Linked DNA regions of Notamacropus eugenii. The protein of the gene in region 2 purifies or fractionates together with the protein of the main gene of each other region. This does not show direct contact. Links are inferred from orthologs where the notes say so. Each region holds a gene or a part of one and is shown on either strand. Other genes may lie near its edges. The genes, in order: PABPC4 and LARP1.

What was found.
Region 1: the proteins of LARP1 (region 2) and PABPC4 purify together in Homo sapiens (affinity purification with mass spectrometry; 3 studies listed by BioGRID and IntAct, with this or other methods). This does not show direct contact. The link is inferred for Notamacropus eugenii from reciprocal best matches to the Homo sapiens genes LARP1 and PABPC4.

The regions. Positions count from the first base shown.
Region 1 is NC_092876.1:79,542,855-79,558,537, forward strand, and holds the start of PABPC4 (polyadenylate-binding protein 4), read left to right. Parts: upstream 1-8,821; 5' UTR 8,822-8,965; coding exon 8,966-9,158; intron 9,159-13,035; coding exon 13,036-13,229; intron 13,230-14,306; coding exon 14,307-14,422; intron 14,423-15,683.
Region 2 is NC_092872.1:383,103,565-383,120,024, reverse strand, and holds the start of LARP1 (la-related protein 1), read right to left. Parts: upstream 7,822-16,460; 5' UTR 7,775-7,821; coding exon 7,369-7,774; intron 1-7,368. UniProt on the Homo sapiens protein: RNA-binding protein that regulates the translation of specific target mRNA species downstream of the mTORC1 complex, in function of growth signals and nutrient availability.

The DNA.
Region 1 (15,683 bases), on a different chromosome or scaffold from region 2:
GAAAGAGAATGATTCTATAAACGGAAGGCAAGGAGGAAGAGCATTCTAGGCAGGAGGGATGGTTATTGCAAAGGGATGGAGATGGGAGATGGAAGACATTGCAAAATGAAACAGGATAGTTTGACTGAACCATAATATGTGGGAAGGGGGATAACATATGAGGCTTGAGAGATAGGTTGGAGCCAGGTTGTGAAGGTCTTTAAAAACCAAATACATGTGTTGAAATCGTCATTTCCTCTTACAATATTTTATCCCACAGGCAATGGGAAGCTGCTGGTTTTTTGAGAAGGGGAGCTTAGTTATAGTCAGAATAACATTTTTGGCAGCTGGGTGGAGGATGGACTGGTGTGGGAAAAGACTCAAGGCAGGAAGAACAATTAGAAGATTGTTGCAATAATGTGGGTGAGAGGTGATGTTCCTAGTACATAACTTCTGCCAGGGCATTCCCTGACTACCCCCTGCCTGGAACATGTTCCCCCTTCCCCTCCACCTCCCAGCCTCCCTGGCTTCCTTCAAATCTCAGCTAAAGTCCTACCTTCTGCAAGAGGCTTTCTCAATCTCCTTTAATACTCATGCCTTTCCTCGGTGGATTATTTTCAGTTGATCCTGTCTATACATAGCTGTTGGGAGCTTTTCTAGAGATGGGGATATTTTTGGTTTTGGGGTTGTTTTTTTTTTGTTGCAAACCCATTGATCAGCACCGAGCCTGGCACAAATAAGATCTTATTAAATGTTTGTTGGCTGTCCAAATTAGTAGCAGTGTAAGTAGAGAAAAAAATATGAGCATTAGGAAGAGACTACACACTAGATACCCATGGCCAGACATGGGTCAGAATCACCCAGGAGAAGGTAGGGAGAATTTGTATACAGAGAGGTAGAAGGGATGCTGGCTAAGAGATAGGGGCCTTCAGCCTCTGCTTCCTGAGCCCAGCTCTTTCACCTGTGTCCATTCCCCTCACTCCCCCTCCCAGTTCTTTCTTTTGTCCTCTATACAAGAGGTTGCTGTGTTTTCTCCTTCGTTCTTGAAGAGGACGTTTTGACATAACTTGACATTGATTTAAGTGAGGGAGGGCTGTGCAACCAACCTCACTTCTTTCTCCTGTGCCTCCTGGATCCAGTGGCCTACTACTAGAAAACCCTCTTCGAAGGAGGAAGTGGTTTTGGAGCTGGGGTTGGAGACCAAACAGGTGCCTCATCCTTATCTGGTCCCCCCAATCCCATGCAAATAAATGGCATGATCTTTGTCGTGAGAAAAAAATACTTTATCCCTCAAAGGCAGAGAGAGAGCCAAGGGAAACTTCAGTTCTGGGCCATTTCCTTCCTTGGAAGTAGGTAAGGATGATTACTTTTTCCTTTCAATTACTTATGCAGTCCCACCTTTGTTGAGCCTATGATGACGTGTGCTCACAGCTGGGGCTTGGGGCAGGGAGGGGTGCAAAGTTTAGATAATTTAGTGTGGAGTCTAGTAGGACAATGCTACCTTGGGGTATTATGTAGCTCAGTGGTTAGAGCACTCACTTTGGAAGTCAGAAAGACCTGAGTTCAAATCTAGCTTCAGACACTCACTAGCCACAAACCTGGGCAAGTCACTTGACCAAGGCTAGGGTTGTTATAAGGATCAAAGGAGATATTTGTAAGGTGTTTCCTGAAAGTGCTATTTAAATACTATCTATTAACATATAACACAAAAACTTGTAAAACAAAATTCTTTTTTTAAGCACCTGCTATGTGTGGAATATGGTGCCAGGCTCTGGAGACAGGGGTACTAATGAAACAGTCCTTACCTTCAAAAAGTTTTTTGGGGGGGGAGGGAAAGACAGGGTTTTTTGCACTTCATTTTTCTTGCTTTTCCTTCCCCAACATGGCTACTATGGAAATACTTTGCATGATTTCCTGTGTATAATGAGAATGTGTTTCTTGCCTTCTCAATGGGTGGGGGGAGAGGGAGAGATTTTGGAACTGAAAATAAAAATTTTTTAAAATTAAGAATAAAAAAAAGAGAAAGTGATGAGGAAAAGCATGCCAGGAATGGGGTTGACAGCTGTGGAAGAATTAAGACTGATACCAGACACATGGTTTAGGTTCAGATCAGCCAAAAACAATTTTATTTAATTAAACTTCATCTATAATACTAATTTAATCTAAGACATTTCTAGCTTGGAAAGAGATGTTCTCCATGACCTCTGCTGTGACTCTGCCAAGAAGACTTCAGGTAGTATTTATAAGAATCTTAAACTAGGAAAATTTATCTCAAAACATAGTCTGGGTTAACATTCCAGAATTGAGCACCCAAGTCTCTATCCCATTCCTTACTGACCACTCCCCTCCTTTGCTCTGGGAGTTAAACAGAGACGTCGTCCCAATCATTTTTATCTTAATCCTTTGCCTCTGAAGAGAGCAGGTGGGCTGGTGCTAGTCCTCAGGTAAGGTCTTTAGATTTATCTATAATCAATTGCTTCTGGCTGGAAAGGGGAGGGGGAGTGAAGAGAAAAAGGCAGGATTGTAAAGGTCAGTTTATTTTCTAATAAAAAATTTTTGTTCGTTTATCTCACCCTAACACCACCCTTCTTTCTTTTTTTTTTAAGAGGCAGTTGGGGTTTAGTGACTTGCCTAGGGTCACACAGATAGTAAGAGTCTCAGGTCACATTTGAACTCAGGTCCTCCTGACTCGAGAGCTGTCCCACCTGTGCCCCCAACATTTTCCTTTCCAAAAGTCTGAAAAGGGCACTTGAAAGAAATTTCCAGATAAACTCAGAAGGCAGTTTTCACTATGCTTCCACACAGTTTTATGCAAAGGCATGGAGGTGGGAAATGAGATATTATGTGCAGGGAATAGAAAGAAGGTCAGTTTGCATTAAAGAGAATACACAAAGTACAGTAATTTGGAATCAATCTGGAAAGATATGTTGGGGCCAGATTACTATGGACTTGAGGTAAATGTCAGAGGAATTTTGCTTTACTCTAGAGGCAATAGGGAGCCACTGTTCCTTTCTGAGGTGGGTGATGTGATCAAACCTCTGCTTTAGGAATGTCACTTGGACAGCTGTGGAGAAATGGATTGATAGTTTCTTATCTGCTTACGGCATTTGGACGCTGGGTCTGTGAACCGACTGTAGTGCTGGAAATGAGTCAAGACAAAAGGCACCAAGTTACAGAATTTCTCTTTCTTCCCACATGGCTGTCGGGTGTAGTGGAGGAAGAACTTGTATACACCTCCAGGTGGGGAGAAAGGCCTCAGGCTCCCTCCCTCAATGCTTCTCCCACTCTCCACCCCCAACACCTGGAACCTTTTGTTTCTTTGGTTCGTGTTTGTTTTGTAGATGAGGAAGAACTGGGGACGTAACAAGAGTGACCAGGTCAAAACCTTCTGACCCCCTAACTGTAGTAGAGGCTCAGCGACTGGGCTTTATGGGGGAGATCCAGCATCTGGAGTCCATAGCGGGGTCTGCCAGGTCAGCAGTTGAGGCTGGAAAAGATCCAGCTCTGAGGAGTAACCGTGGCTAGACCAGCACCTGAGATGTCAAGTCCTTCCCGGAAGGGAGAGAATCAGCTCTCGGCTGCGTTTCACTGATGGTGGAGGAGTGTTTGTGGCAGTCAATTTACATTGGAGTCCACTCTCTTTCCAGACTGAGACTGCTCTAGTTGTGGGATACCTTTTTGTTATTGGGGTCTCACTTTTTGTTTCCAGTAAACATCTCTTTGTTAAAGTGAATTTTAACTGGTTATCAATAATATTGAGGAGAATTTAGAATGAATTAATATTTAAGTCAAGCCAAAAAGCATTTATTAAGAGCTTAATAAGTGCCAGGCTCCGGGCTATACTGGGGGCACAAAGACAAGGCAAAAATGAAGTCCCTGTACTCAAGCAGTTTACATTAAAATGTGAGCGGACCGCAGAAAAGTTTAGGGAAGGGGAGGGGAAGGCACTAGGGGGAGAACTTGTTAGTGAAATCCTCAGTCATGGATTAGCTGCTCTGGCTTTTCCTCCAAATGAAGTTTTAGAAAGGAGCTCTCCAATGGGAGAAGGGGGCAACGAGAAAAGAGGAAGAAGGACGGGGAAGTAAGGTGGCATCATCCAGGGAACACGGCCCTAATGATACTACTACCTATTAGCACAGGTTCTTAATAAATGTTAATTGATTCACTGATAGCATTTATATGGCTTTTAAGATTTACAAAGTGCTTTACAATATGACTTCATTTGATCTTTACAACAATCCTGGAAAGCTAGTATTTTGATTATCCCCTCTGAATGGTGAAGAAACTCAGGTACACAGGTTAAGTGACTTGTCTAGGGTCACATAGCTAGGTAAGTATCTTAAGACTGGACTTGAACTCACCTTCTTGACTCTGAGTCCCAGTATTTGATCTAATCACTGATTAGATAACATTGCAGAGAGAGCTGGCCAAGTGATGCTGGGTGGGTACATACTGGCAGGGAGACCAGTATCTCCAGTATTAGGAGAATCACCTCATTCAGCCCCTCAGTTACCTCTAGAACCTTGACAGGGCAAGATATAGGCACTCTAAGGATCAGTGCCAATGCCAAGTAAGGTTTGGAGAAGCAGCTTCTGAGCCTAAGCTACTTTTTAAAGTTTTTCTTTATTTTTAATTCTGAAATGAACCAAATAAAATTAACATTCCCACATACAAAACAGAGCAGAGTTGTTACCAGGGCCTCCTTAATCTGGCCCCCTTCCCTTCTCATTTCCAAAAGTGTCATAAGCTTTTATTAAACACCCTCTATGTGCAAGGCACTATGGGAGACCCTAGGGTTACAGGGAAAGTGATACAATTCCTTCCTTCAGGAAGCTGACATTCCACAAAGTGGGACATAATGGAAAAAGAAAGATCCAAACACAAACCTTTCGGAAGATGTGAAGGCCAGAACGGCTCTTTCAGCCAACGGGAGATTGGGAAAGATTTGCCAAAAGAGGCCATGTCTGGGCTGAACCTTGGAAAAACGAGGAGGGTTCTGGAAGACCAAGGGGAAAGCCTCTCTGGAGGAGTACCTTCCCACCATGGGAATAGCTCTCACAAATGCACAGAGGCGTGAGACAAACGCATCAAATTTGGGGAAGGGCTAGTGGTCCAGTATGGTCAGAATTCAGAGTAAATGAAGGCACCAGTGGGGAAATGAAGCCAGAAGCGTAGGTAGGAGCAAGGTCCTGGAGGGGACTGAATCACAGACCCAGCCCAAGGAGTCTTTTATCCTAGGCTTTACCTCCAGAGCCTCTCAGGATTTTGGTGCCACAGCTCAGGAACATTATTTTGGCTGCTACATGCCAAACTGAACTAGGGAGACCAGTTGAGGCCAGTATCATGGCCCAGTGGGAAGGCTGAGGGCTTGAGAGTGGAGAGATGGCCATAAGATGCAAGAGGCAAAGTGAAGACCAAACTCCACATGGCAACTGATCTTGAATGGGAAATGCAGGGGAAGGAAGGTGATTATTTGAGTAGATTAATGACATCTTAGTAGGACAATACTTTTGACCTTGAGAATGCTCTAGGAGGGAATCAGGCGACCCCCCATACTCTGAGAACGTTGGTATCATGGAAAGAGCCCTGTATCTGGAGTCTGGAGGTGCCACTCAGCGGGCTGTGTGGCTTTAAGCAAGTCCTTTCGTGCCGCTAGGTCTCAGGGTTGGACTTGGCTTTTCATCCACCTCGAAGTCTCAGCAATGACTCCCTAAGGCTGCCAAAGGCCTTTGTGCACCTTAAGAAGCCAAGTCCACACCTGGAGGACACTGTGTAGCCCCAGAGGACAGGCAGCACTTTGGCTGCTGAGACCTTCCCAGCCTCTGGCACATCCACCCACAAGGTATTCATTAAACACCCACTATGTACCAGATCCCGTGCCAGGCACGAGAAAGGAAACCATGCCCGTTGAGCCCCTGAGGCTGGCAGCTCAATGAGGGAGGAAAGCAGGAATGCCGTGTAAACATCTTCAGCATCCCCGCGCATGTGATTATATGTATCCACATGCATCAGTTACGTAATATATGCCTAGATATATACGAAATGGACTCATTCCGAACGCACAACCCCCTGAAGGCCGGCGGACCGATGACGTCACTGGGGTTCCCTGACTTGTCCGGGACCGCGTGGCTAGGCTGGACTTGAACTCAGGAATGATGCCTGTATGTACATGAGACATAATCACACAATCCAGCCTAAAAGTCTAACACACAGAGGAGTGCAGCTGCGTCTACATGCGGGCACACACGCACACTACACGCATATGCCACCGGCTAGGTCGGGAGGTGGCACGGGCAGGCCGGGGAGGGCCAGCTCTGCGGACTCGGGGCGCTCTGGACCTGACCGCTCGGGCCGGCGGCGGGGCCTGGTGCCACCCCCGAACTGTAGGCCGCGCCCCCCCCCCACCGCGGCCGCCCGGGTCTCTCCCGCCCCCCACCGCGGCCGCCCGGGTCTCCCGCCCCCCACCGCGGCCGCCCGGGTCTCTCCCGCCCCCCACCGCGGCCGCCCGGGTCTCTCCCGCCCCCCACCGCGGCCGCCCGGGTCTCCCGCCCCCCACCGCGGCCGCCCGGGTCTCTCCCGCCCCCCACCGCGGCCGCCCGGGTCTCTCCCGCCCCCCACCGCGGCCGCCCGGGTCTCTTCCCCCCCCACCGCGGCCGCCCGGGTCTCTCCCCCCCCACCGCGGCCGCCCGGGTCTCTCCCGCCCCCCACCGCGGCCGCCCGGGTCTCTTCCCCCCCCACCGCGGCCGCCCGGGTCTCTTCCCCCCCCACCGCGGCCGCCCGGGTCTCTTCCCCCCCCACCGCGGCCGCCCGGGTCTCTTCCCCCCCCACCGCGGCCGCCCGGGTCTCTCCCGCCCCCCACCGCGGCCGCCCGGGTCTCTCCCGCCCCCCACCGCGGCCGCCCGGGTCTCCCGCCCCCCACCGCGGCCGCCCGGGTCTCTTCCCCCCCCACCGCGGCCGCCCGGGTCTCCCGCCCCCCACCGCGGCCGCCCGGGTCTCTCCCGCCCCCCACCGCGGCCGCCCGGGTCTCTTCCCCCCCCACCGCGGCCGCCCGGGTCTCTCCCGCCCCCCACCGCGGCCGCCCGGGTCTCTCCCCCCCCACCGCGGCCGCCCGGGTCTCTTCCCCCCCCACCGCGGCCGCCCGGGTCTCTCCCGCCCCCCACCGCGGCCGCCCGGGTCTCTTCCCCCCCCACCGCGGCCGCCCGGGTCTCTCCCGCCCCCCACCGCGGCCGCCCGGGTCTCCCGGGTCTCCCGCCCCCCACCGCGGCCGCCCGGGTCTCTCCCCCCCCACCGCGGCCGCCCGGGTCTCTCCCCCCCCCACCGCGGCCGCCCGGCCCGGCGCCCCCCGCACGGCCCAAGGAGGCGCTTCCCGAAGCCATTTCATCTCGTCTCCCCGTCGTCCAGAGGGAGAGCCCGAGGCCCCCGGCGGCCTCCCCCTCATCTCCCGCTCGCTGCACACAGCGGCTGTGAGCCGCTGGACTTGGGGCAGTGCCTGACATACAGCAGGTAACTAACACACGTCTGCCGACCGCTGGAGGCTTGACCTTCTTGGGGCGCCGAGAGGAGAGGGGCTGGGGCACTGGAACCCGGGCCTCCGGGCGCAGTAAAGGGTGACCCGCCATCTCGGTCTCGGGCGCAGGCCCCTAATAAACGAACGTGGACAAGCGGTATACAGTAGGCGCTCAAAGTCAGCTGCACGAGGACTTAACAGATGAACGTGCAAGGTTTGGACGGCTCGGACGTCCAGAACGTCCAGGAGAGGGCCGTCCCAAGCAGGGGGCCGTAACCGTCGCCTGGCCAACGGTCTTTCAACGGCCCCGCCCCGCCCCCTCCACCGCGGCCGCGTGCGGCGGCGCAGAGCGAGGCGGGCGGCGAGGGTGGGGGCGGGGCAGGGGAGGCCGCGGCGCACGGGTCCTCCGGGGCTGGGGGGCGCTCTGGCCCGCCGCGCGCCTGTCTCGTCGCCTCGCCGGCTCTCGCCCGCTCTCGCGCGCTCTCAGGCTCGCTCTCCTCGGTCGCACGCGCCGCCGGGGCTGCGTTGCGCTGCGCCGCGCTGCGCCGCGCTGGGCTGGGCCGGGGCGGGCCGGACGGCGCCGCCCGGGGCGCGCCGTGCCCTTTGACCGGCGGCGCTCCCGGGGCGGGGGTATAAATGGGGCGCGGCGGCCTCGCGGCTGTCTCTCTCTCCGCTCCTGCCCCTAGGTTCGGCGCTTCGCGGCCTCCCACCCCCCCCCCCCTAAAAAAAAATACCTAAAAAAAAAGAATCCCTCCAAGTGAAAGCAGAAGAACGGACGCGGACGCGGACGCGCGCGGAGACCGCTGCCGCCGGATCGGGGGCTTGGTGTGAGAGCCCCGGCGCCGAGAGGAGACCTTTGCCCCGCTCCGCCCACCCGCCGCGTGTCCTGCCCCCGCGTGTGGCTTCCGTCCGTCCGCGCTCCGGTACCGCGTGTCCGGCCCCCGCCCCCGCGCGTCGCCGTCCTCTTCTGCCCGTCCGTGCCCGGCCCCCACGTGTGCGGCTCCCGCGTGTTCCTCCTCCGTTCCGCCCGGGCCCCCACGTGGCCGGCCCGGGCCCCCCGCTTTCCTCCCGGCCCCCACGTGTCCTTGAGCCTGTGCCGGCCCCCTCCCTCCGCGCCTTCCCCACGTCCGCGGGCCGCCGCGCTCTCCCACGTGGCTTCTCCCCCGCGTGCCGCCGCCGCGGCTGCTGCTCCCGGGCCGGCCTCCGCTCCGCTGCCGCGGGAAGCGTCCTCGGACCGCGGCGTGCCCCGAGCCGAGCCGGGCCGGCTGTCCTGGGAGGGAAGGGCCGCGCCTGGTGCCCGCCCGGAGCGCCGGGCCCCGTGACGGCGGCCGCCCGAGGCCCCGAGGCCCCGCCGCCCGGCCCTCGCCTGCCGCCCAGGTCCGGCCCCGGCCGCGATTTAAAAGTCTTGTCTCTTTCTCCTTGCCTGGGTTCCAGAAGGAGGTCCTCCTGGCGGGGCTCGGGGTGCTGGGGGGCGGGGAGATGAACACTGCGGCCAGCAGTTACCCCATGGCCTCCCTGTACGTGGGTGACCTGCACTCGGACGTCACCGAAGCCATGCTGTACGAGAAGTTCAGCCCGGCCGGACCCGTGCTCTCCATCCGGGTCTGCAGGGACATGATCACCAGGCGCTCCCTGGGCTATGCCTACGTCAACTTCCAGCAGCCGGCCGATGGTGAGTGTGGCGGGGGGACCCGCGGGGCGCCCGCCCGTGCGGCTTGTTGGGAGTCGCGTTCGTTTCAGGCCCTTGCAGGTCGGTAAGGTGAGGAAGGCTGTCGTGTTCCAGCCGAGCTGGGGAGGCTCAGAGGTTAGGGGACTGGGAGCCCAGGCTTTCCACTGTGCCAGGGGGCTTCCCCCAAAGCCGCCCGAACGATTGAACGCAGTTTAACTAACAGGTAGGTGACCGCAGTGCTGACTGGAGTCGGGAGACCTGAGCCCGGTTCTTCATGGCTAGGGTGATGTCTGTAGCGCGCACTGTTGGCATCCCGGCGGTGGAGCGCTCCGAGCGTTACTCACCGGGTCCTCCCTGTGTACTTGTGTTAAAAACCCTTGGTGGCACTGGTCAAGCGCTTCTTGTGCAGTCCCACTGCGTTCTAGAGGATTTACCCGGTTCTGAGACTCAGTGGGCCATGGAGTACAAGGGAGTGAGGTCTGGATTAGGAGTAGCCGGGTTTCTGACCCGTCCACCATGCTTGAACGAAACTGAACCATCCCACGCTGACCCTGGCACTCGAGCACTTGGAGAGCGCGAAGTAACCAGTGGTCTTGAACTGCCGATAATCAAAGAAGTAAGGAGAAGGTGCAGCCATTTTGCTGATTAAAATTTCCATCTGCATCTTGGGTTGCACACACACCCCTTCCCCCTTTCTGGGGCACATGTGTAACCAGTTGAACACAATTAGCTTCCGTCGTCTTGGACACAGGAACAGAAAAACTCTTATGCAGAGGGGGGAAGTAACCTGTTTGTTAACTGGTAGTTGTCCAAATTCTTCCACACTTTCTCTCACCCGGTGGGTAAAAGGGACAGTCCGCAGGTCAGCCTTTCTGAGAGAATGCCTCAAGGCTGGTGTTGTCTGTCCAGTGGGTGTCTGGAGGAATGGAGCATCATCTAGAAAAGCACGATGGTAGCAGCTCTGGGGGCAGTCCCAGCCCAGCCACTCACTAGCTTAACCTCCAGGTCTCAAGTTTCCTAAACTGTGGGAATATTATATCCTACCTTAGGGCATCAGATGAAAGAGGGTATATGAAAGCATTTTGTAGCCATAGAGAATTATCTATAAATGGATATCTTTGGACTAGGTGACCTAGTTCTTAACATTATAAAAGTTGTATTAGCAATAATACAAAACCAAAATTATTTGAGCAACTGTTTTAAAACTTGAGGTAAGGAAAGTCTAAAATTCCTATCAGTCCCTTTGGCAACAAGAAAGCGCACTCTCCCAAGTTCTCAGTTACTGATATCCCTAGTTAGCCAGTTGGGAGCCTGAGGCCCAGAGAATGTTAGTTATTCAAGGTCAGAGTAAGACAGTAGAAATAGAACCCAGGCTTTTGCCTTCTCATTTAGGGCTCTAATCAGTAGTGAGATGTAGTCTTTTTTTGAACACAGTGTGATTTTAAACCCTACCAGTACAAACACACAACATTGGGGAAAATAGTGCTAAGAGGCTAAACATGGCCTTTTTAGGGGAAATAATGCTCTCTTTGGTACATGTGTTAGCTGCAGACTGCCTGTCACCTTTGAACAAAAGTACTGTTCAGTTGCAGATAACATAAGCTATTGGTTTGCGTCTTTGCCAAGGCATACTTGGGCAGGTCCTCTCCCTGCTATAAATAAATACTGCCCACTTGGACTGAGTTGTCTTTAGAAGTGCCTTCTTGAAACTCTGTTTTACAAAGTTATTGATTTATATCATTGAAATGAAATCCCTTGGTGCCAATTACATTAGTTGCCCACATTATACTAGGGATTGTATTACTAAATACAAATATATAATAGAGCTTCAGGACTTTTTCTGCCCCTCCTGCACACATTTTTATTTTCATTTTTCTGTTTGTCCCTAACGCCACTCCAGCGTAAATGGAACCTGTAGGGATTTTGCAACCATTGGGTAGAGAATGTAATTTTTCTTAGCAGATGTCAGTAATTTTGGAGCAAAGGATAAATTTTATATAATTTGGACCTTGTTTTTATATTCAAAGCTGATGAATTGACAGATAGGACTTTTAAAGCAAAATAAACCTTTTCCTCCTTGCTTAATATGTGTTTGCAAATGAGTATGAGTCTGTTCTGAACTTAGTAGCATTTTTAGACCATGGCATTGGGATGAATGGTGAATTCAGCATTTTTAGGGCCACAGCACTAATTTGGAAGTGCACCCACTGATTATTCAGGGGTTTTGAGAACTGGAAATGTGCATGTCTGATTTTTTGGTGAAAGAAACTGAAACAATCAAAATAAGATAATTTGGTTTCTGATCACTTTAGTGTCTGTAATTGGAGACGTTCTTGGCTGGAAATTTTCAAACTATCTGAAATAAACTTGATACTCTGAAGACACACTGATTGAATGGGGACAGTGTGGATCTAACTTGAACTAGTACTGAAGAAAGAACTATGTTGTGGCTGTCAGATCAGAATCAAAATTGATTCTTTGCCCAGGAAAACCTTTATTAGCCAGAGTGCCTGGAGAATAAGGGGAGTCAGTCATTGTGTTAGTGATAGTTGAGGCTTGTGTTTGTTATACCTTCAGTAGTGCCCTTTACTAGTCTCCTGAAGACTGAGAAGTGACTTTGCCCAGTCTCTAGCTAGTCAGAGTTGTGCCTTTACCAAGCCTCTTCTCCCTGTGAAACCTAAAGCAACTTGGGGTATGTGTTTTCTAAAATGTATAGAGAACATAATGGAATTTTTCTTCAGACTTACCAGCTCAGATGTTCTCATTGTCCAGGACTAGATGTAGAAAATTGGGCATTTAGGCTAAGTACATATCTAGCCCAGCATCAGCCCCAGATTTTGTGTGTATTTGTCTTCACTCCCCACTTTTAAGTGGAGAAAATTCTAATTGGCTTTTGTTGCCCATTTTAGAGATACTTTAGGGAGAGTTCCCTAAACTCATTTGGTCCTATTGGGCCCTCCGATGTCATTGCTATTGGGATGAAACTCAGGCAGTGCAGATCAGTACCTCTGCAGCTTGTAAAGATTTTATCTGCCTAGGACTAGAGCAAGGAGGCCACCTGATCAAGGCCACACAAACCAGCTCTGGCATCAGTGGGAGGCTCCCCATCCTGCTGTATATCCCCTGGACTATACTGTCTCAATGTTCTGCATGCCTGGCATAGTCTTCAAAATTAGGAGTTGTACAGCCCTCAATTTTCCAATAAATAAAAATGAGGGGTATTGGGAGGTGGAAGGAACGTCAAGTGTCTGAGGATCCTCTAGAAAGTGGAGCAAGTCTGAGCTGTAAGATTTGTGAGGTGTTTTACGTACTATCTCACTGGATCCTTAGGAAGATTGATGAGCTAGGTCCAGTTCTATAGATGAGGAAACAAGTTGGAGGTAGTTGTGACTGGCTTGGGAATGAGCATGAGCCTGAAAAAGGCCTCAGGAATTTGAGGGGGTCCTGAAGCTTCTTTCATTATCTGTGACATGGAGATGGAAGGACCCTCAGGAGTACCTAGTCTGACTTCATTTATAAAAGGGAAAGCAGGGTTACCCAGGTCCTGTTACTGGAGAACCATCACTCTGAAGTTTTTTAGTCTTAATTTGTTGATGCTTTCCTAATCAGAAAAGCAGGCCATCCAATGAGATTTCTGAAATAACTTTAGGGTAAGATGGACAATAAGTTAGCAAGGACGTTATTGAATAGGAATGTTTTTGTGTCTTGGACCCTCTTGGCAGCCTGAAGCCTAGGGACCCCTTCTTCAAATTAATTAAGAACCTCTAACCCGGTAATAGTCATGGTGTTCCAAAACAGACTGGTCTAATGGCCATGTTTCCAACTAGTTAACCTTCCTTTTCACTTAGTCCTTTCTCGGATCTCCTCTCTTCCTTCCTAGCTGAACGTGCCCTGGATACCATGAACTTTGATGTAATTAAAGGCAAACCCATCCGTATCATGTGGTCTCAGCGGGATCCGTCATTGAGGAAATCAGGAGTTGGGAATGTTTTCATTAAAAACCTGGATAAATCCATAGACAACAAGGCACTTTATGACACCTTTTCAGCATTTGGAAACATCTTGTCCTGCAAGGTAAGTAGTGGTTATTCCCAAGGCAAAGTTGAACTTAACTTTAATTTTTATTTAAAAAAAAAAAAAGTAGGGATGGTAGGGCAGTGTAATGAAATTTAAAAGTTTCTCAAAAGGCTAGAGAAACCTGACTCTTAATTTCCCAAGTCTGTCTTTGAAGAGACACTGTCTAGATGAAAAAGAACTCTGCACCTGGGAGTCAGAAGACCTGGTCTGCCGTCTTTAGGCAGACTGAGGGTAGTGGTAATGACTTTGACAGTTAGATGGATCTAAGGAGAGAAGGATTAAATACTGGATGTATACAATGGTAATTCTTTATGGTAACCCTGACAGTCTAAGGCAAGGAGAGGTCCCCAGACTGCCTGGGATACAAGAAGGATAAAGCATTGGCCACAGCCAGTAGAGCCCTTTGCATGGACTTGGATCCTGCAGGCCTTGAGCTCAGCTCAGAGAAAATTACTCTTTTCTCCAGGCCTCCTCTCCCAGCTTGGGCCTTCTCCCTAACTTCTGTTCACTTTTGGTCCTTCAGTTTTACTGTTTTTATATAAAACTTAACAAATGCCCAATAAAGGAGCATTTCCATTTCTCTGAATTCTCAAAGGATCATGGCATCAGAGTCCTTCAGTTCTTCTCCATCCCCATATCAGCTCACCCACAGATACAAATCCCCCTGTAGACTGGCTTTCTGGCTTCTCCCTTCTAGTCATTGTTTCACACACCTTCTCAGATAATCTAATATAGCCCTGGGATAGTCCACTCTTAACACTGAGTCCTTCCCAGGCTCCTGATTGACTTCTAAATAAAATTCACGCTCTCCACAGACAGTTAATAGCACTTACAAGGTAGCTCTTGTCTACATGTTTAACCTCGTCTTAATGCAGTCAGTTACCAACATCTTGACTTTTGTACAGCCCTCCCTGAGGCTGCATTGCTGCCTCTTCCTTACGCTCACATTATCACCTTCTCTATCCCTGCATCCTCAGACTGTAAACTCTTAAAGGGTCACAGGTATCTTTGTGTTAAGGACTTCCGTGTTAGTTGAATTAAGGCAGTAACTGATTTGGTACCTGTATTTTTTAGGTGGTGTGTGATGAGAATGGTTCTAAAGGCTACGCATTTGTGCACTTTGAGACCCAGGATGCCGCAGATAGGGCCATCGAGAAGATGAACGGCATGCTTCTCAACGACCGAAAAGTGTGAGTGTCTCAGCCAGAAGCAACAACCATCGCATGAACCGTGGTGCATCTCAGTATTAACAGGGACACACAAGGCTACTGTTGCTCTCGGCCCAAGCCGTGGCCTCCTACCTCTCCACTACAGGGCTGGTGAGTCTCCCTGCCCAAGGCGGGCTCCTTGCCCAAGCCTTAGCCTGCTACCTCTCCCTTACAGGGATCAGTGGGCCTCTCCTCTCCTGAAAACGAGAGGATGGCTAGATGAGGGCCCTGAGCTCACTCTGAATTGGGTTTATGTTGATGTCTTGAACCATTTTGGTCACTTTTAAATACACACAAATGTGTATTTAAAACAGATTCTTGTTTTTAATGAAAATAATGCCTCTTTCTGTAAGTTCAGGCTGTTTACACATTATGGCTCTTGGCCTTTTTATCGTAAGAAGAGTTCTGGCCTAGTTGCAATGAATCTTTTTTAACTGAAACCTCACAAATCAAGTGTGTTCACCAGTCCCTGTATTGTAGGAGTTGGTCTTGTAAGCAAAGACCTCACTTTGGAGTGGTCATTTTAGGGTGGAGATGTTCTGTTAAAAGCAAAGGGATGAGGAGGAAGGGGCAGGCACTTCACTAATGTTTATATCAAATGCAAAGAAAAGGTCCAAGCTGGGACTGTAATGAATAAGAACATCCATGTCATCTCGCACACACCTGGTGGGGTAGAAGGGTGGGAAACACAAATGAACTGAGAACTGGCATATATATCTGTCTGAGGAGCAACGTATATATCTGTCTGAGGAGCAACGCACCCTCCTCCCCCAAATGGTTGTTTTCCACATATTTAAGAAGTATAAAAGGGAACATTTTTAAAAATGTAGTGGTAATAATCTTGGCCCCTGGCTCTGTGGTGTAGTAGAATGAGCTAGAAAACTTGGCTTTGTCATTAGTCACGTTGGTACCATCAGAGAAGTCACTTTCCTTTTGTGGACCTCAGTTTATATGATTCTTTTATGAAAATGGGAATGCTATCTGGGGTCCCTAAAGATTTGCATTCTGTAATTAGGTGTTGTTGCTGTCTGGTGAGATGGGCGTGGAGGGGAGGGTATTGGTGGGATAGCAGGTAGGGAGGGTGTATGGATAGATGGTGCTGGCCCATGGAGTCAAAGGTTTGTGGTGCAGTTGACAGGTGGGTCAGGTTGTGTTGTGTTCTGTTGGTGACTTTTCTGAGCCTGGCTGTGTCCCCTGTTGCTATAAAGGTTGATGGGACACCAAGGCTTGCCACTATCATTGT
Region 2 (16,460 bases):
GAGAAGGCTGCCTTCCTAATCATACTAACTGGCTCCTAGCACCAGATAAACCAGCACCATGTACCAAAGGCACATTTGTACTTTTTCTTCTTTCTAATACCATGATCCAGCCTTCTCTCCTGGATTTGGGAATCCCTGCCTAACTCTCCCGTACTTTCCAAGTCACTTCCCAGAGCCTCAGGAAAGTGAGGGAATCTCCATTTAACTTCCTACCACAAGGCATACAGGATGCACCATCTTTGAAAATTATAATAAAAAAACGCACTCCTCTATAGTCCCTCATTTGAGTCTAACAACAATCTTTTCAGGTAGGCACTAAAGCTATTATTGTCCTTATTTTACAGAGGAAGAAACTGAGGCAAAGGGAGGAAAAGCTACTTGTCCATGGATACACAGCTAGTATCAGAAACACTATTTGAACCCTGATTTCTTGATCCCATGGCAAGTGCTCTATCCACATGAAACACTTCTCAAAGAGAACAGTTGTTTTCAGTCCTGCTAACTTGAACTTTATGCATTATGGACCCTAGGACATACATGGTGGGTGGCTCTTTATAGAAAAGACTTTTGAGATCTCTTAAGCTTTCCTGTCTCCAAAATGATCAGAGATCACTCTCCTGGCTCACAGACAGGTAGTGCAGATCTGGCACAAATAGCAAAAGTCTATGTCTCTTGAGCTCTTCAAATTTCATAGTGGAGAACATGGGATGAAAAACCAGGGAGGAAGCGAAGACTAAAATTTGCTCTCTGGCATAACCTCAGCACCCAGGTCAGAAAGTGAGAACTTGTGAGAGATCAGATCCAAACTTTCACACTGGAGCCTTAGGTAATGAACTAAAAATTGGGTTTTTCAAAGCTGATCTCAAAAGAATCCCTAGCACAAATCTAAGTACAAGACACCCTCAGCTCTGCAAGGGGCTAAAAACAAAGAACGACTTTGGTAATGGGACAGAGTTCTAATAAGAAAAGAGGTATGTGGAAAACCTACCACTTAATGAGTGTGAGCAAATATTTTTCTCCTCCAGGTCTCAGTTTCCTCATCTGTAAAACAAAATGTTTACAGTCCCAGGGGTGGGGGGGACTCAATAAAAGGATGTGTTCTGTAAAACTTGAACTAGGTCAAAAGGTCACACCTGAGGACCTAGAAGGCCACATGTGGCCTCAAGGCTACAGATTCCCCACCCCTGGTTTAGACACAAACTTGTAAGGACCAAACCAAGTTCTCTGTGCCCTGCTTGTCTGTTCAAATCTGCCACAATGTTAAGTGTGAGCCCCTCCCCTCCCCAAACACTGGTTTTGAGGTTTAAAAAAAATTAAATTCTTTATATAGTAGATAACCCCCAGAATTACTTACTTGGCTTTTTAAAGAGCACAAAATCACATTCTCCAAACTGGCAGAGACTTTAGCAGGTCAGAGTCTGACTCCATGTTACAGCTTAAAAAGACACCAAAGCTCAAAAATAGCACGACTTGTCCAAGGTATCTGAAGCAATAGGTGACAGAGTTGGGAAGTAGAACCAGACTCTAATCCGATTTTTCATTACACACACTGTGGCTCAGATTCACTGATATGATATTAAAGGACAGCAACAGTAAAATGTTTACTCCTACCTAAAATATCACAAATGTGATCTATCAGGGGTAGGAATAAAGAAGAAAAAACTCCAGTGACTACAGTTCACCATCACAAATGAAATGCTGGTAATCCTAATCAGTGCTTCTCCCAACCCCAATACAACAAAGAACCCGTTGGTATGCAGATTCACTGACTGGTCAAAATTCACACATGTTAACACTGGCCAAAGATTTCCTTCAACTGGACTAAGTTCACACATAGAAATTATTTTCCTAATACCCAATTTCAAACTAAGTTTAACTACACAATCTCTTCACAGATTAGAAAGTAGCAAATTACCAATTTTTAGAATTATTAAAGAGATATTATGAGATGAGCCCAACCACTTCAATTTAAACATTTTATTAAGTACCTACTCTGTGCAGAGAAGGTACTCTAATGTTGGGGGGAGATTCAAAGATTAGATAAATATATTAAATAAGAATCCAAAACAAAATTAGGAGAGGTACACAAACTGCTACCTGGGGCAGGCAAGGGAGGGATGAGGGAAGGTTTTATACCTCCTTTTTAAAGGTTTCATTTTTGCTTTTCCTTTTTTTTTTTTTTTACATCTATCATTTCCTAATGCTTCCCTTGCAACAAATTAAATATAAACCAAAACAAGAACAATGGACATGCCTAAAAAATGTATACTTCATTTCATTCCTGAAGTCTACCACCTCTCTACCAAAAGGCAGGAAGCCTGCCTCACCATCAGTCCCCTGAACTTATGACTGCTTTCTACACTGATCATAATTCTGAAGTCTTTCAATCTTGTCTCCCCTTATATTACCGTGGGATTCATACACATTGTTCTTCTGATTTAGTCAGTGCAGTATAGAAAAAACTATGTTTGAATTCAGAAGACTTGACTTTAAATCCTAGCTCTGTAACATTACCTTACACAGGTCAAGTCACTTAAAACATCCAGGCCTCAGTTCCCATTATGTGTAAAATGAGAGGACTAGACCAGATGACCTCGGTAAAGCTTACCATAAATGTTTCTAGTTAGCAATTTACAATCCTGTGATTCACTAGAGAAAGCTTCATGGAAGAAGGGGCATGTGAGCTTGGTAAAGAATGGTAAGGTTGGGAGGCAGGAAAACACCAGGTGTCTTCTGGGGATTTTGAATAGTCCAGCTTGACTTGAAGAGGTAGGCAGTGTCAAAGAGCTGATAAATGACTTGTCCAGGGTCACATCAATGAGTTACAGTAGAGTCAAAACTAGAACTCAGATCTTCAAACTCATAATTCTAATATTCTCCAATTCTGTACCACCTTAGCAAGGTGATGTGAAATGAGCTTAGAGAGAGATTGTCATGAGGTTGAAGCCTTCTGAGCCATCTTACAGTCCAACTGCTTTTTGCTTTATTGGGGATGGGGAAGAAGACAAGGTAAAAAGAGGAAAAGACAGCTCAGAATACAGCATTTGGCAAAAGATTCCTCATTAGGAGTTCCAGCTCCCTGTTCATACCAAATATACACATTTACATACATACACACACACACACACACACACAAATATCGCAATGTTGTCAAGTCACCAAAACCCACCTAAAACATACAAAACGTTTCCAGGTATTAAATGGATCCTTGGAGTAAGGACTACCATAAACTTAGCACCAAATCCAATAGTAGAGATGAGTTCAGCTGATGCCTTCTAAACCACAATTGGAGGTTATGTTTAAAATCATATTTCCTACCTCTGGGAAATGGGAAAAGAGGAGCTGTCCAGATTTTTTTTTGAGGGGGGAGGAGTTTGTTAGACTAGGGGGTAAAAGTTTTAGCTGAGGCTGTAATCCAATCTAGATTCATGTTCCATTTAGGATATAGTATGTAAACCACAGAAAACTACAAAAAAGGAATAGTACTAGGCAATTTCGCTACAACACTCCATCTTAGGAAAGCAATGTGTTACCATACACATTGTAAATTATTATGAGGAACGGAGGTAAGGTCTCTAGATGCACCTGTGGATTCTCAAAAATTAACTATATAGGGAGTCACTGTAACATATGCATGGAAAGGTCTCAATTTCAGCCTGGCTTTCTTCTATTCCGCCAAAGTACCCTCTGAATCTCCACAACTTGGCACGTGGAGAGGGAACAAAATCTAATTTTGATACTAGGCTACTAAGTATAAGATAATTAAATCAACTTTAAGAACACATATTAATAAAGCATTAGAACTGGAAAGGTACTTAAGATGTCAGAACTAAAGAAAACTTGGAACAGAAAATCTAAGAATTGAGGATGTTAGAAATAATTTACTGTCAATTGCTTTATTTTTACAGATTCAAAGGCCAAATAAGTTAATTCTTTGGGTTATCTGAACCATATCCTCTGTTTGGATGGTTAAACCAAGACCAGATTTTATTTTCTAGGGTACAATCTTCTAAATTCACTTCCTATTTCAATGAATATTCACAGAACTAAGTGTTAGGATTTTTAAGGTTTATTTAGATAGTATACTTTGATTTCACACATGAGGAAAGATTCCAGAAGAGAAGTGACTGGCCCAAGGTCATAAGGCAGTTAGTGATGGATCAGAAGTTCAAACCTAGGTTTCCTTCTTTTCATGTAAAGGAAATGATGTAGAAATACAACTCTTTAGAAGTTAAAGTGAATAATGGTGAGTTTACACATTTAAATGAACCTGGATACAGTTACATGGGAAAGTAAACTGCAGACAGGTATTTGACCTTAAAGCATGTTTCATTACTCCTTAGGGTGCATGTACCCTCAAAAATACTACCAGAGCCAAACCAGTGAATAAAAACAGGCTTCTACAGCAAGCTTTGGAAAGTTTGCAGCTTCAAGTCTGCATTCTGTTCTGCAGCTTCCAAAAAGCCAGAACATGAAAATGGTATTAATGCAGTAACTTACCCAATAATCTATGAAACTGCATTTAAATTCTATCAGCGTTAGGTCTGAAGGACACCTCAGAAATCAATCAAATCCAATCCTAATAAAAACTCAGGAAAACAAGCCCAGAGACATCCAGTGACTTGCCCAAGGACACAGTGGGTCAGAAACACAGCAGAATTAGAACCCCAGAACTCCATCTTTTTCCTTAAAATATGCTGCTTATTACCTATGTGACCAAAGAGAGACAAGGCAGTATATTCTGAGAGCAACATGAGTGCAGTTTACAAAGTACCTTCTTCACAACTACTCCATGCCCCAAGAAAGACAAATATTATTCTCCACATTTACAGATAAAACTCAGATTAGAGGGTTTTATTTAATTCTAGTACCGCAGCTATCACAGGCAAGAAAGCCAGGGCTTGAACTCAGATCTTCTTATTCTATGTCTACCACATCATGTATGCAAAAAAAAAAAAAAGGGTATATACTACCTACCAACCCAAATCACATTTTCTTTCTCCTACAAAATATAGAATTTTCAAAACCACTCAATCCCAGGTTCCAGGAGGTATTTTGCATCCAAACAAGGTTTTAGTTTTAAGCTGAGTGAACTGTCTCTGCGTAAAGACAGGATTTTGCAGTAGTGTCACTGCTTCCACTAGTGCTACAGTACTACAACTGGGATTCCAATGACAGAGGTAACAGCTCAGAAACCCATCTGACCAAGATTTGGTTTGAAAGGAATGTCTATTTTCCCCCTTGTTAGGGGAAAAGCCAGAGCCAGGCCGAACATTTCCCATGTCAACAATGGTGATGACGCACCATTTCAGAGGGCATCAGCTTTCACAAAATGCCAGCACATGCACCTGTAGGCCATCTGACGTTGCACACTGGGATCTAAAATCCAGAAAGCAGCCTCACCATTAAACAACCTGGAGTCTGATGCACATGGCTACCAACCATTCCCCTTTCCTTCAGTGATCTTTCTGAGAGTCCATTTAGATCTCTTTTCACCTTAATGTGTCCAAACCTCTTAAGGTCCCTCTCTCTCATCCCCTGGGTAGAGATGATCTTAAAGAAAATGGAGGTTTCCAAATACCTTTTGCATAAGAGCAAACTCTGTAAAGGGAGGGGGTTAAACACAGTTTGAGGTATTGTTAGTAAATCCCAAATGAACCCTCCTCCAATGAAGCAACCTTAAGAGAAATGTCATTGCAACATTCTGATCTAAGGGCTGGCTTTTCAGTTTCCTCCAGGCCAAGGCCTCATGCCAGCTGAAGGAGGGCATGCTTTTTACCTCCTACCATTTGACTTCCCTGAGGCCCTAAGGTCTTCCCCTCAACTTTCTGTTCTAGATTTATGAACAGGGGAGAATTATCACCATCCTAGATGGGAGAGAGCCAGGAAGACTAAGGGGGTGGGAGGTAAGTCCCTGCCCTTCCAGTCACCATTTCTGAACCAAGCAGAATACAATACTGAGTGACCCTGCTCTGTTTAAATAGGTTGTGAGCCAGGGGGAAAAAACCCAAAACGAAATGGGACGGCTCAGGCACCCCGGGGGAGAGGGTGAAGGTGAAAATCGAGGCCATGAGCTTCTGGTCCAGCACAGGCCCAGTCCTCCCTTTTCCTTCCCTCTTGGGACACAGCAGCCCAGCTCACGGAATTCGGTTCCTAACTGCGGTCTAGTGGGGAGAGGAGACCCCACCCCAAAGGCTGGGGGAGATGAGGGGAGGGCACAAGCGACGGGCTGAGCCAAGGGGATGTTGGCCCCGATCACATGCAGCTTTCGACAGGCAGGCAGACAGGCAGCGAGAGCAGAGAAACCACGTTGTCTTTACTGCAGTGGAATGCTGGGAAGGGGAGGAAGCTCACTGAGACAGACAGAGACACACAGAGACAGAGAGACACACACACACACACACACACCCCCACCCTCGCCCGGCCCGGCCTTCTAAAATCGAACCCTGCAACTGGGCCTCGAATCCCTCCGAGCCCCGCGTGGCCGCCCCGCGGTCGCCGACCTGTCACTCACCCCGGCACCGCCCGGCAGGGCCCCCACTTTCACTGCCCTCCGCCACCTCCCCCCAACGCACACCCCACCCCTCCACATTTCCACGCCCCTCCAGTCCGGCTCCCCGGCAGGATATTTCTGTATGTCACGACCCAGCCCCAAGAAGAGCCTATAAAAATTACGTATCTGAGCCTCTGAAGTAATCACACACACACACACACACACACACACACACACACACACACACACACGTGCCTCACCATAACCTCAATGACACGTAGAGTTGGCTTTTTCCAATCCCCCCCATCCCCCCCAAGGAGGGCACGGGTCGGGGGTCGTCTTATCCACCAACCCAGAGACCAAACACTCTACAACTTTGAAATCCAGAATCCATATTTGTAGCTCTAAACTCGGCTCGTTCTGCCCAGGGCACGCTTACAATACAATCAATGCTGCAACGCTCGACAACTGGGGTGCGGGGTTCAGGAGAATCTCTTCTTTCTCCCTCCCCCCGCAGGCCGGCAGTGTTCAGTGGGGCGACGGCGAACGAGAAGAGGAAAAGGGCCATAGGCACCAGAAAAGTAGTTTTCCTCGGGGCTCGAGGCCTGCTCCTCGCCGCCGCCGCGCCAGCTGCTGCGGCCCCGGCAAGGCCGCTCCGTCCTGCCCTCGTCCGGCCCTGGACCACTACAAAGCCCGGGGAGACGCCCGGGGCCTGCGCCATCTCCCCGGGAGGACCCCGGAGGCTGGCGGCTGCCAAGACCCTCCGGGAAGAGAGAATCATGATGGAGTCCCCGCTCCGCCCCCCCCCCCCCCCACGCTGCGGCCGCGCGCGGCGAGGAAGCACGACCCGAGAAAGAGAGGAAGCAGGCACCCACCTGGCGGGGACTGTCCGTTCACGGTGACCAAGGCCGTCGGGCCCGCGTTTTTCGTCCACGGATTCACCTTGGGCGGGGGGGCCTCGACGAACTCCCGGCGGCCCGGCTCGCCGCCCTCCTCGCTGCCGCTGCCGCCGTCACTCTCGCCCCGGGGCGGCGGCGGCGGCGGCGGCAGCTGCAGGCTCTCCCTCTCGGCTGGGGGGCCGTCGTCCCGGGGAGGCTTGGCCGAGCCGAGCGGCCGAGGGGGCCGGGAGCCTTCGTCGCCGCAGTCCAGAGGCTCTCCCTTCCCCTCGGGCTGCGGCGTCTGCTGCGGCGGCGGCGGCGGCTGCTTCATCACCAGCCCGCCGTGCTCCTCGGCCTGAAGGAGGGGGTTGCCGGGCGGGAGCGACTCCACCTCGGTGGCCATGGGAGCGCCCGCCCCCCCGAACCGAAGCCCCCGCCGGCGCCGCGGCAGCCTCGCCCCCACCCCTCTCGCCCGCCGCCGCCTCAAACTTTCCTGAAGCTGCTCGGCCTGGCCGCTCTCCCCTCTGGGAAGGCTGTCTCAAGGGGCTGCCCCCCTCACAGTCCCTGGGGACCGGAGCAGGAAGGGAGTGCTGGGGGAGGGGGGACTCGAGCCGAACAGCCGGGCGCGGCCCCCTCCCTCCCTCCCCGTCGGAGGGAGCAGCCGAGAAGCCCAGGCCCTGAGCGGCGGCGGCGGTGCCGGGGCGGGGGGGGGGAACCCCTCTCTTGCCTCCTCGCCCGGGGTCGTAGGTTCCCCCCACCACCCCCACCCCTCAAGGCCTGGGGGCTCTAGTCGCTGCCTCTCCCACTCCTCTCCCTCTCCTCTTCCCCCCCGGGGGCAGCCCGGGCTCCCCGCTCTGGGCTGCAGCAATATGGAAGGGGAGAGCGGAGCGGAGAGGAGCAGACCACGCGATCGGCGGGGGCGCGCTTCGCAACGCGGCGTCTCTGGGACGGGAGGGGAGGGGATGCGGTCGGGGACGGGGACGGGGTGGCGGGGGCGCGCGCGCCGTGGCCCGGCCCCTGGGACCGGGGGCGAGGAGCGCGCGCGCACGGCTTCGCTTCCCCTCACTCCCGACTCCGTCCCCACCCCCTTCTCTCCCTTCCCTCCCCCCAAGTCTTTCTGCTCCTGTTCCCTAGTGGGGGTGTGGGGAGAAGGGGAGGGCTCCGACGGGACGGGGGCGAGCACGTGCCTGATGCAATTCGGAAAGGTGGAAGGAGAGGGGGAGCGCAGGAGGGAGGGGGTGCGGGGGAAGCCGGGGCGGGGCGGGGCTCTCTTAAAGGGCCCGCCTGGGGAAGCAAGGCCGCAGGTGGAGCACATGGAGCTGGGGCCATGCGGCGGCAGTGCCGGCTTGCTTTCGTTTTTTAGGCGGGGGACCGTAGAGCCGTTGGTGGAAGATGGAACTGCGAAGGAAGAGTGCTGATGAACGCCACCCGGGCTCACAGGAGCTCTGCTGGCTTAATTTGCTTGGGCCTGGCAGGGTTCCCCCCGTTCCCAAACCCAGAGCTCCTGGCCTTCCCTGCCCAGCCTGGTGACCTTGGAGAGCCACTTTGCCCCCACGTGCCTTAACCTCCGCGCAGCTTTCTGCGCTAGCACGGACCCAAGGGAAGAGGAATTCCGTTAAAGCGCTTGGGAAGCCAACGGAGGTCAGCCTCTTGGCTGCTGGTGCCACGGACCTTACCCTGCGGGGGCAGGGGAACGGGCCCCGGGGAGGGAGGGCCCTTCCTGTGCCCTTTGGAAGGGAGATTTGAATGCTAACCCACGTGGGCCAGCGCGATGCTCTCTGCTTCTGATCATCTAAGCCAAGGGAATGACCAGGTTCTCGTTCTCTACAGAATTGTTCTTGATCGTCAGTTCAGCCGGCTAGAGGAAATCCACATCTTTGGGGAAAGGGGACATGCCCTTTAAAAAGCAGAGCATGCCGCAGAAAATCAGTACAGGAAGAGACCTTACAACATGGACTGCGCAGCTAGGAAGCTGCCTTGGCATATGGAAGCCTGAATAATTGTACCATCTACTTACTTGCAGAACACTGAGCTAGGCACGGAGGGTGCCGAGAGTAATTAAGACACACTGTGTCTAGCCCCCTGTGCAATTGGCTGTTGAATAGGAAGTCGAGAGATAAAAGCACAGATAGCAATGAGATAAATACAAAAGAAAGGGGCAAAGCAGTGCCCTTTTGAGATCTGGGAAAAATAGTTACTGGGATCAAGGAAGGCTTCATGCAGAGTAATTGAGTTGTGCTTTGAAGGATGGCTAGAAATTCACCAGTGGAAAGGAGGAAGGATAAGCTAGGCATGGGCAAGAAAGTGGAAAAATACAAGGTTGCTAAGTCCTGGGATCTGACTATAACAGTACAGAAAGAAGTCATGGTGTCACTTAAAGATGGTGTGGTTCCAGATTGCTGAGAGCCTTGAATGCTAGGCAAAGGGACATGGCCTTTACTCAGAAAGCAGTCAAGGGCCGCTGGAACAATTTTGGTCAATAGTGATTCAGCTGCACCTACCCAAAGCAAAATTATTCTATCAACAGTATAAAATGTCCAGTGGCCTCTATTGCCTTCTGAGTACAATTCATATACCTTTGCTGGCATGAAGAACCTTATTTGAAGTATTTGGTGATGTAAATGGATAGAGCAGAGGCCTGGGGACAGGAAGGCCCTAGTTCAAATTAGACCTCAGACACTTATTGGTTGTGTGACTCTGGACATGTCATTTGTCTTTGCTTTAGTTTTCTCATCTGCAAATTGGAACTAATAATGACACCGACCTCCCAAGGTTATTGGGAGAAGCAAACGAGAAATGATTTGTAAAATGCTTTGCAAACCTTAAAGTAATATATCAATACGAGGTATTATTGTTCTACATTGTGGGCCCTCCGAATTTTTCAGGACATTTACCTTATGCTTTGCTCCAGCCAAGACGGACTATTCTTAGTCCTTCCCAAACAGCCTAAGTTTTCTTACTGAAGTTCCATATGCCTGGAAGTCCATTCTAGCACCTTTTTCACCAGCTGCATTTCTTCCTACTCTTTTGAGATACTTAAAACCAAACACTGGTTCCTTTCTGAAGGCCTTTACTGACTCCTCTAGTCTAGAACAGCATTAGTGAACATTTATGAACCCTAATGAACATATATGTTTTTGTATCATATTTATATATGCTATACATTATACGTTATATACATTATACTTACATATGTTTGTGTGTGTATCGCTCACACAGCTAGTAAGTAGCAAAGCTGGCATTTAAATCCAGATGTTTTCACTCCAAATCCAGGGATCTTGATGTGAAATTAATGGTGTTCAGTTTGTAAGAGAAACCTAGAATTTTGTCTAATTAATATATTTGCTGTTGTTGAATCATTTCAGTCATGCCCTATTCTTTGAGGCCCCATTTGGGATTTTCTTGGCAAAGCTACTAGCATAGTTTGCTATTTCCTTCTCTTCAGGAAAATAGGGTTAAGTGACTTACCCAGGGTTACACTACTAGTTTTAGGTCAGATTTGAACTCAAAGATGAGTCTTCCTGACTTCAGGCCCAGCACTCTATCCTTTTCGATACTCCATTCTGTAATAAGAAGGACCTAAATTATTTGCTCAGAATCACTCAAAAACATTTGTCTTGTCATCTTTATGTATAAGGCACTGCACAGCTTTGATTTGATTAATAATAAAAGCCTACATTTCCACAACACCGTGGAAATGAGTATGTTATCTCCTTTGTTCTATACAATCATCCAGGGTGTGTAATGTGAGTATTGCCACCCCCATTTTACAGATGAAGAAACAAGCTCAGAGAAGTGATTTGAATAAGGTCATAAAACTAGAATGACACAAAGGTCAGATTAGCGATTGCAAATCTCATGAATCCATGTCTGGTACCATTTCTGCTGTATCAGATAAGTTAGATATGTGTATGTATATGGATAGATAGATATAAAGATGTATGTATGTCTGCTTTACAGATCTCATGTGCTACTAGATCTGTAAGATGTTTTAGGAGCCCCAGAAACAAGCAACTAGGTGTCGGAAGTGGATAGAGGACTGGGCCTGGAGTTAGGAAGACTCATCTTCCTGAGTTCAAATCTGGCCTTGGACACTTAGTAGCTGGATGACCCTGGGCAAGTCACTTCATCCTGTTTACCTCAGTTTCCTCATCTGTAAAATGAGCCAGAGAAAGAAATGACAAACCACTCCAGTCTCTTTGCTCAGAAAAGGGTCAAGAAGAGTTGGATATGACTGAATAACACCACCAGAAAGGGTGACCTCAAAGAGGCAAGAAGGTATTAGAGACCTTTTTGTGTAGCAGAAAGAGTTAGAGTTGGTAGACATGAGTTTGAGTTCAGGATCTGCCACTTATTAATTTTACTATGGGCAATTAATTTAACTTCCTGGACCTCAGTTTATTAATTTGTAAATCGAATGAGTTGGCTTGATAATAAATATCAAAGATCTCTTCCTCCTATAATGTTCTGGGTTTTGGTTTTTTGATTGTTAGTTGTTTTTTTTTTAATGTTCTAAGATCCCTTCTAGCTCTGGTGTTCTGTCATGTATGTTTTGTGTCCTAGTGTCCAATACTAAAACTTTATGATCTCAAAGCAAATACTCCTCTTAAACAATTATATTCTAATTTGTACTATACTATACTTAACTGTGTTAACTATTAGATTATAATCTCCTTTTGAGGGTAGTCAGCTTGTCTTAGAGGTGCTCAATAAATGCATTTTGAATTGAATTAAACTGAAATGCTATCTCTCAAAGCCACAAACCCCTGGCAAATTGCATGGAATTGTTGACCTAGAGATTTTTAGTCCTAATTACTGGTTATTCTCTGTGCTCTTCAAAAGAAGGGAGATGCTCTATTTTGCAGATGAGAGTACTTAGGGACAAGAGGGATGTAAAGTGATAAGTTAGTTCAAGGTCACATAGCAAGATAAAAAGAAAGGCAAAAACAGATTCAATTTTGCCTTTCCTTGGTGCTAGCCTGGGGCCAAAGGACAGACAGGTTTCCTGAAAAGTGAATTGGTGGAACAACTGCATGTGTATGTGCAGGCCCTGGTCTGCAGGAGTACAAAGAATCTGTGTGTGCTCCATATACGTAGCATCCTCATTAGCTTGTCATAGCAACATTTTGTTCTCCAAGTGAGAAGAGATGCATTAGAACATACAATGTCTGGGATGAGGATGAAAGAGACCTTAGAACATGAAATGGGAGAGTTGGTTACAGCCTTAGAACTCATACAGACCAGCCCTGTTATTCTGCTAATGAGGAAATTCAGGAATCCTGGGCATGTTTCCTGTACTTATAATAGTAGACTTTTAGTCTAACAAGAACAATAGTAGACTTTTAAGCTATAGCTTTTCTACTAATTCAAGGACAGCTAGGTAGCACAGTTGATAGAGGGCTAGGCCTGGAGTTCAGAGGACCTGAGTTCAAATTCAGCCTCAGATACTTACTATGTGTGATCCTTGGCAAGTCACTTAACCCTGGTTGCTTCAGTTTCCTCATCTGTAAAATGAGCTAGAGAAGAAAATGGCAAACCACTCCAGTGTCTTTGCCAAGAAAACCCCAAATGGAGCCACAAAAAGTTGAACATGACTAAAAACAATTGAACATGTAATTCCTACCACTTCATATTATCTATAGATGAATAATCAGTTTCCATAGCACATTATACCTTTCTAACAGCTTTAATGTCTGTTGTCTCATTGGATCCTCAAAACAATGATGCCCAGCTGTACCGAATAAATGTCTCCCATTTGTGCATAATAAAACCTATAAAATTTTACCCATCATTCAAAGAATCCCAGATCAAATGCCAAATTCTCTGTGAAGATTTCCCTGATCCAGCTGTAAGTTATCTTTTCTTCCTCTGAAATGTAGAGCACTTTGTAAAAGGATATAGCATTTGTTAGTATCATAATAAATGTATGCCTTGTATCACAGTTATGTGTATCTGTATGCCTATTTCCTTCAATTAGATTCTAAATACTTCTAAAAACAAGGATTATCTCTAATACAACTTTGTAGCTCCCAAAATATGTCACAGTACCTTAGATTTGTTCAACAAATCCTTACTGAGTGCTTATTGTGTGGACATTCCATAAATTTTTGTTGAATGAAGGACTGATGTGAGTACCATGTGACTAGATGTTTAAATTGTATCTTAGAGAGGTTAAGTGATTTGGTCAGGATCACACCAAACCAAAATTGCAACCTAGGTCCCTTGGTTCCTAGGCCAATGCTCTTTCTCTTACACTGTGTTATTGGCTGATTTATTGATTCATCTATCAAACTGCCTACTTATATGCAGTACTATGTGAGCTAGGCACTAACCCAAAATACAGTGAAGGCCTTATCTACCAGAAGCTCAAGATTTAGTTAGCAAATAAGACACTGGGGTTGGGCTGGATAATCTCCAGGATCCCTTATAGCTCTAATGGTCTACAATGGTATGAATGAGGACAGATGCCTAATTAGAACACCTTTAGGAATCTAGCAATTTGTCAGCAAACACAAATACCACCAAAATAATATTTGGCTTTTATGGATACTGTATGTTCAAATAGAAATAACTTTGTTCAGGGACCCTCTGATTATTAATATCAAGTGAAACATAAAACAAGGTGAGGTCTTCCCAGCAGAGGTTTTTGCCATTATCACCGAAGACTTACATTGCAGAGTTCACACTGAAGAGGGAGACCCTATAGATAATGAAGTTCCCCAGGTGCTAATTAAATAAAGCTTTGGAATTTTGCAAAACTTCTTATATGAGATTAATTGTTGTGTTATTTTTTCACTTGTATCCAACTCTTCATGACCCCATTTGGGGTTTTCTGGGCAAAGATACTGGGGTGGTTTGCCATTTCCTTCTCCAGCTCATTTTATGGGTGAGCCACTGAGACAAACAGGGTGAAGTGACTTGCCCGGAGTCACACAGCTAGTAGGTGTCTGAGGCTAGATTTGAACTCATGAACATGAGTCTACCTGACTCCAAGTTGCTACACTTAGCTGGTTACAAATGAATTTAATAATCAATTTAATAATTTATATTAATCAAGTTATAATTATATTAATTAAAATAATCAATTTAATAATCACTTCAACTTCACTAGCCACACTAGGAAAAAACTAGTAGATGAAGCTAGGACTAGACAAGTTCTTTGAGGGCTGGGACCTGTCTTATCATCCCCCCCTCTTTGTTGTCTCATTCTCTGTACCTAACAAGTGCTTTACCTATTCAATGATCTACCTACTAAGGTCATTTCTAACTGTACAGTTTAGGTTCTAAAGTCCCTTCCAGTTTGGACATTCTGTTGCATATCCTGTTTTTAAAGGACTGATCCCTTCTGCCAAAAGACTTGGACTTTTTACAGTTGGCTGAGTTGAAGAACATGAACCCCAGAGTAAGGAAATCAATCAGTCAGCGATGAATTATTTCAAATTTTACGTGTCCAAAACAAAACTCCTTATCTTTCCCCTCTAAGTCTCCCTTCTTCCAAAGTCACCTCTTCAGAGCACAACACCACCCTATCTTCCCAGTCACTGTTGCTCCTAACCTCCTATCATCCTTGACTTTTCACTCCCACTCACTCACATATCTAATCTGTTGCCTGATCTTGTGGTCTCTACCTTTACAACATCTCTTCTATTTCTCTCCTCTCCCACAGCCACCACCCTGATACTAGCCCTCATCCCCTTGAGCATGAACTGCAATAACCTTCTGTTTGGTTTCCTTGTTTCAAGTCCCTCTCCACTCCAGTCCATTTTCTACTCAGCTGCCACTGATCTTTCTAAAGTAGAGGTCCAACCTTGTCACACACCCACACACAACCACACACTCAGTAAACTCCAATGATTCCCTTCTTCCTCTAGCACAAAGATAAAATGTTTGTTTACAACCTGTCCCTTTCCTCCCTTTCCAGTCTTCTTACACTCTTCTTTCCTGTGTATACGCTATAATCTAGCAACCCTGGCCTTCTTACACAAAACCCTCCACTCCTGACTGTATCTTTTCATTCTCTGCTCCCCATACCTGCAATGCTCTCTCCTTACTTCTTCCTTCTAGTTTCCTTGGCTTTGGGAAGGCTCACTTTCTGTAAGAGGCCTTTCCTGATCCCCTTCCATGCTACTAGTACATTCCCTCTGAGATTACCTCCCATTTATACTCTTTAATATCTTGTATGTACATAGTTGTTTTATATTATCTCCTCTATTACAATGGAAGATCCTTGAAGAGGAGACCATGCTTTTCTCTTTTTATCTCTAGGCTTAGCAAAATATCTGGGATTTAATACATACTTTTTTTTTATTGAATTAACAAAAAATATAAATGATTGCTGTCTAGGAAATTGAAAAGGAGGAATTCCAGGGAAAATTTAGGTGATAGAAAAATGAAACATTAATAAAAATTATTTTAACAAAACCACATAAAGAAGGTATTAATTGAATTGATTGAATCAATCAACAAGCATTGATTAAGTGCTTATTACATGCTGGTCACTATACTAGGCACTGGACACACAAAGATAAAAATTATACTATTTTTTATAAAGACTGACTTGTCTGGATTATGATATAAATGTGGATAGACAATCTCTAAAACTTGTCCATCTGTACATATATATCTTGCACAGAAATGACAAATGGACAATGAGCTGGGCCTAGAATTGAATAAGAGGAGGAGAATGGATAAGATCATCATTGGAAAATTATCTAGTGCTTTTAGAGACCCCAGTTTTCCCTGAAAGTAAAACCTTTTTTAAAATACCCTTATTCTTCTGATAATGTTGTGGTAATAATGGAACACTAAAGACCAAAGCTCCAAAGTACTGAAGTCAAGAATCGCCCTAAGGAGCAAGCAGGGTTTCAATACATTAAGAATGAGGAATTTTACAGAAGTAGTGATGTAAAGGATGTCATATATGACATTATATGAACTGATGCCAAGTGAGATGAACAGAATTGGGAGAACAATTTATACACAAACAATAATATGATAAAGATAAACAACTTTGAAATAATTAGGAACTCTGATCAATGTTGGAGAAGGAAATGGCAAACCACTCTAGTATCTTTGCCAAGAAAACTCCA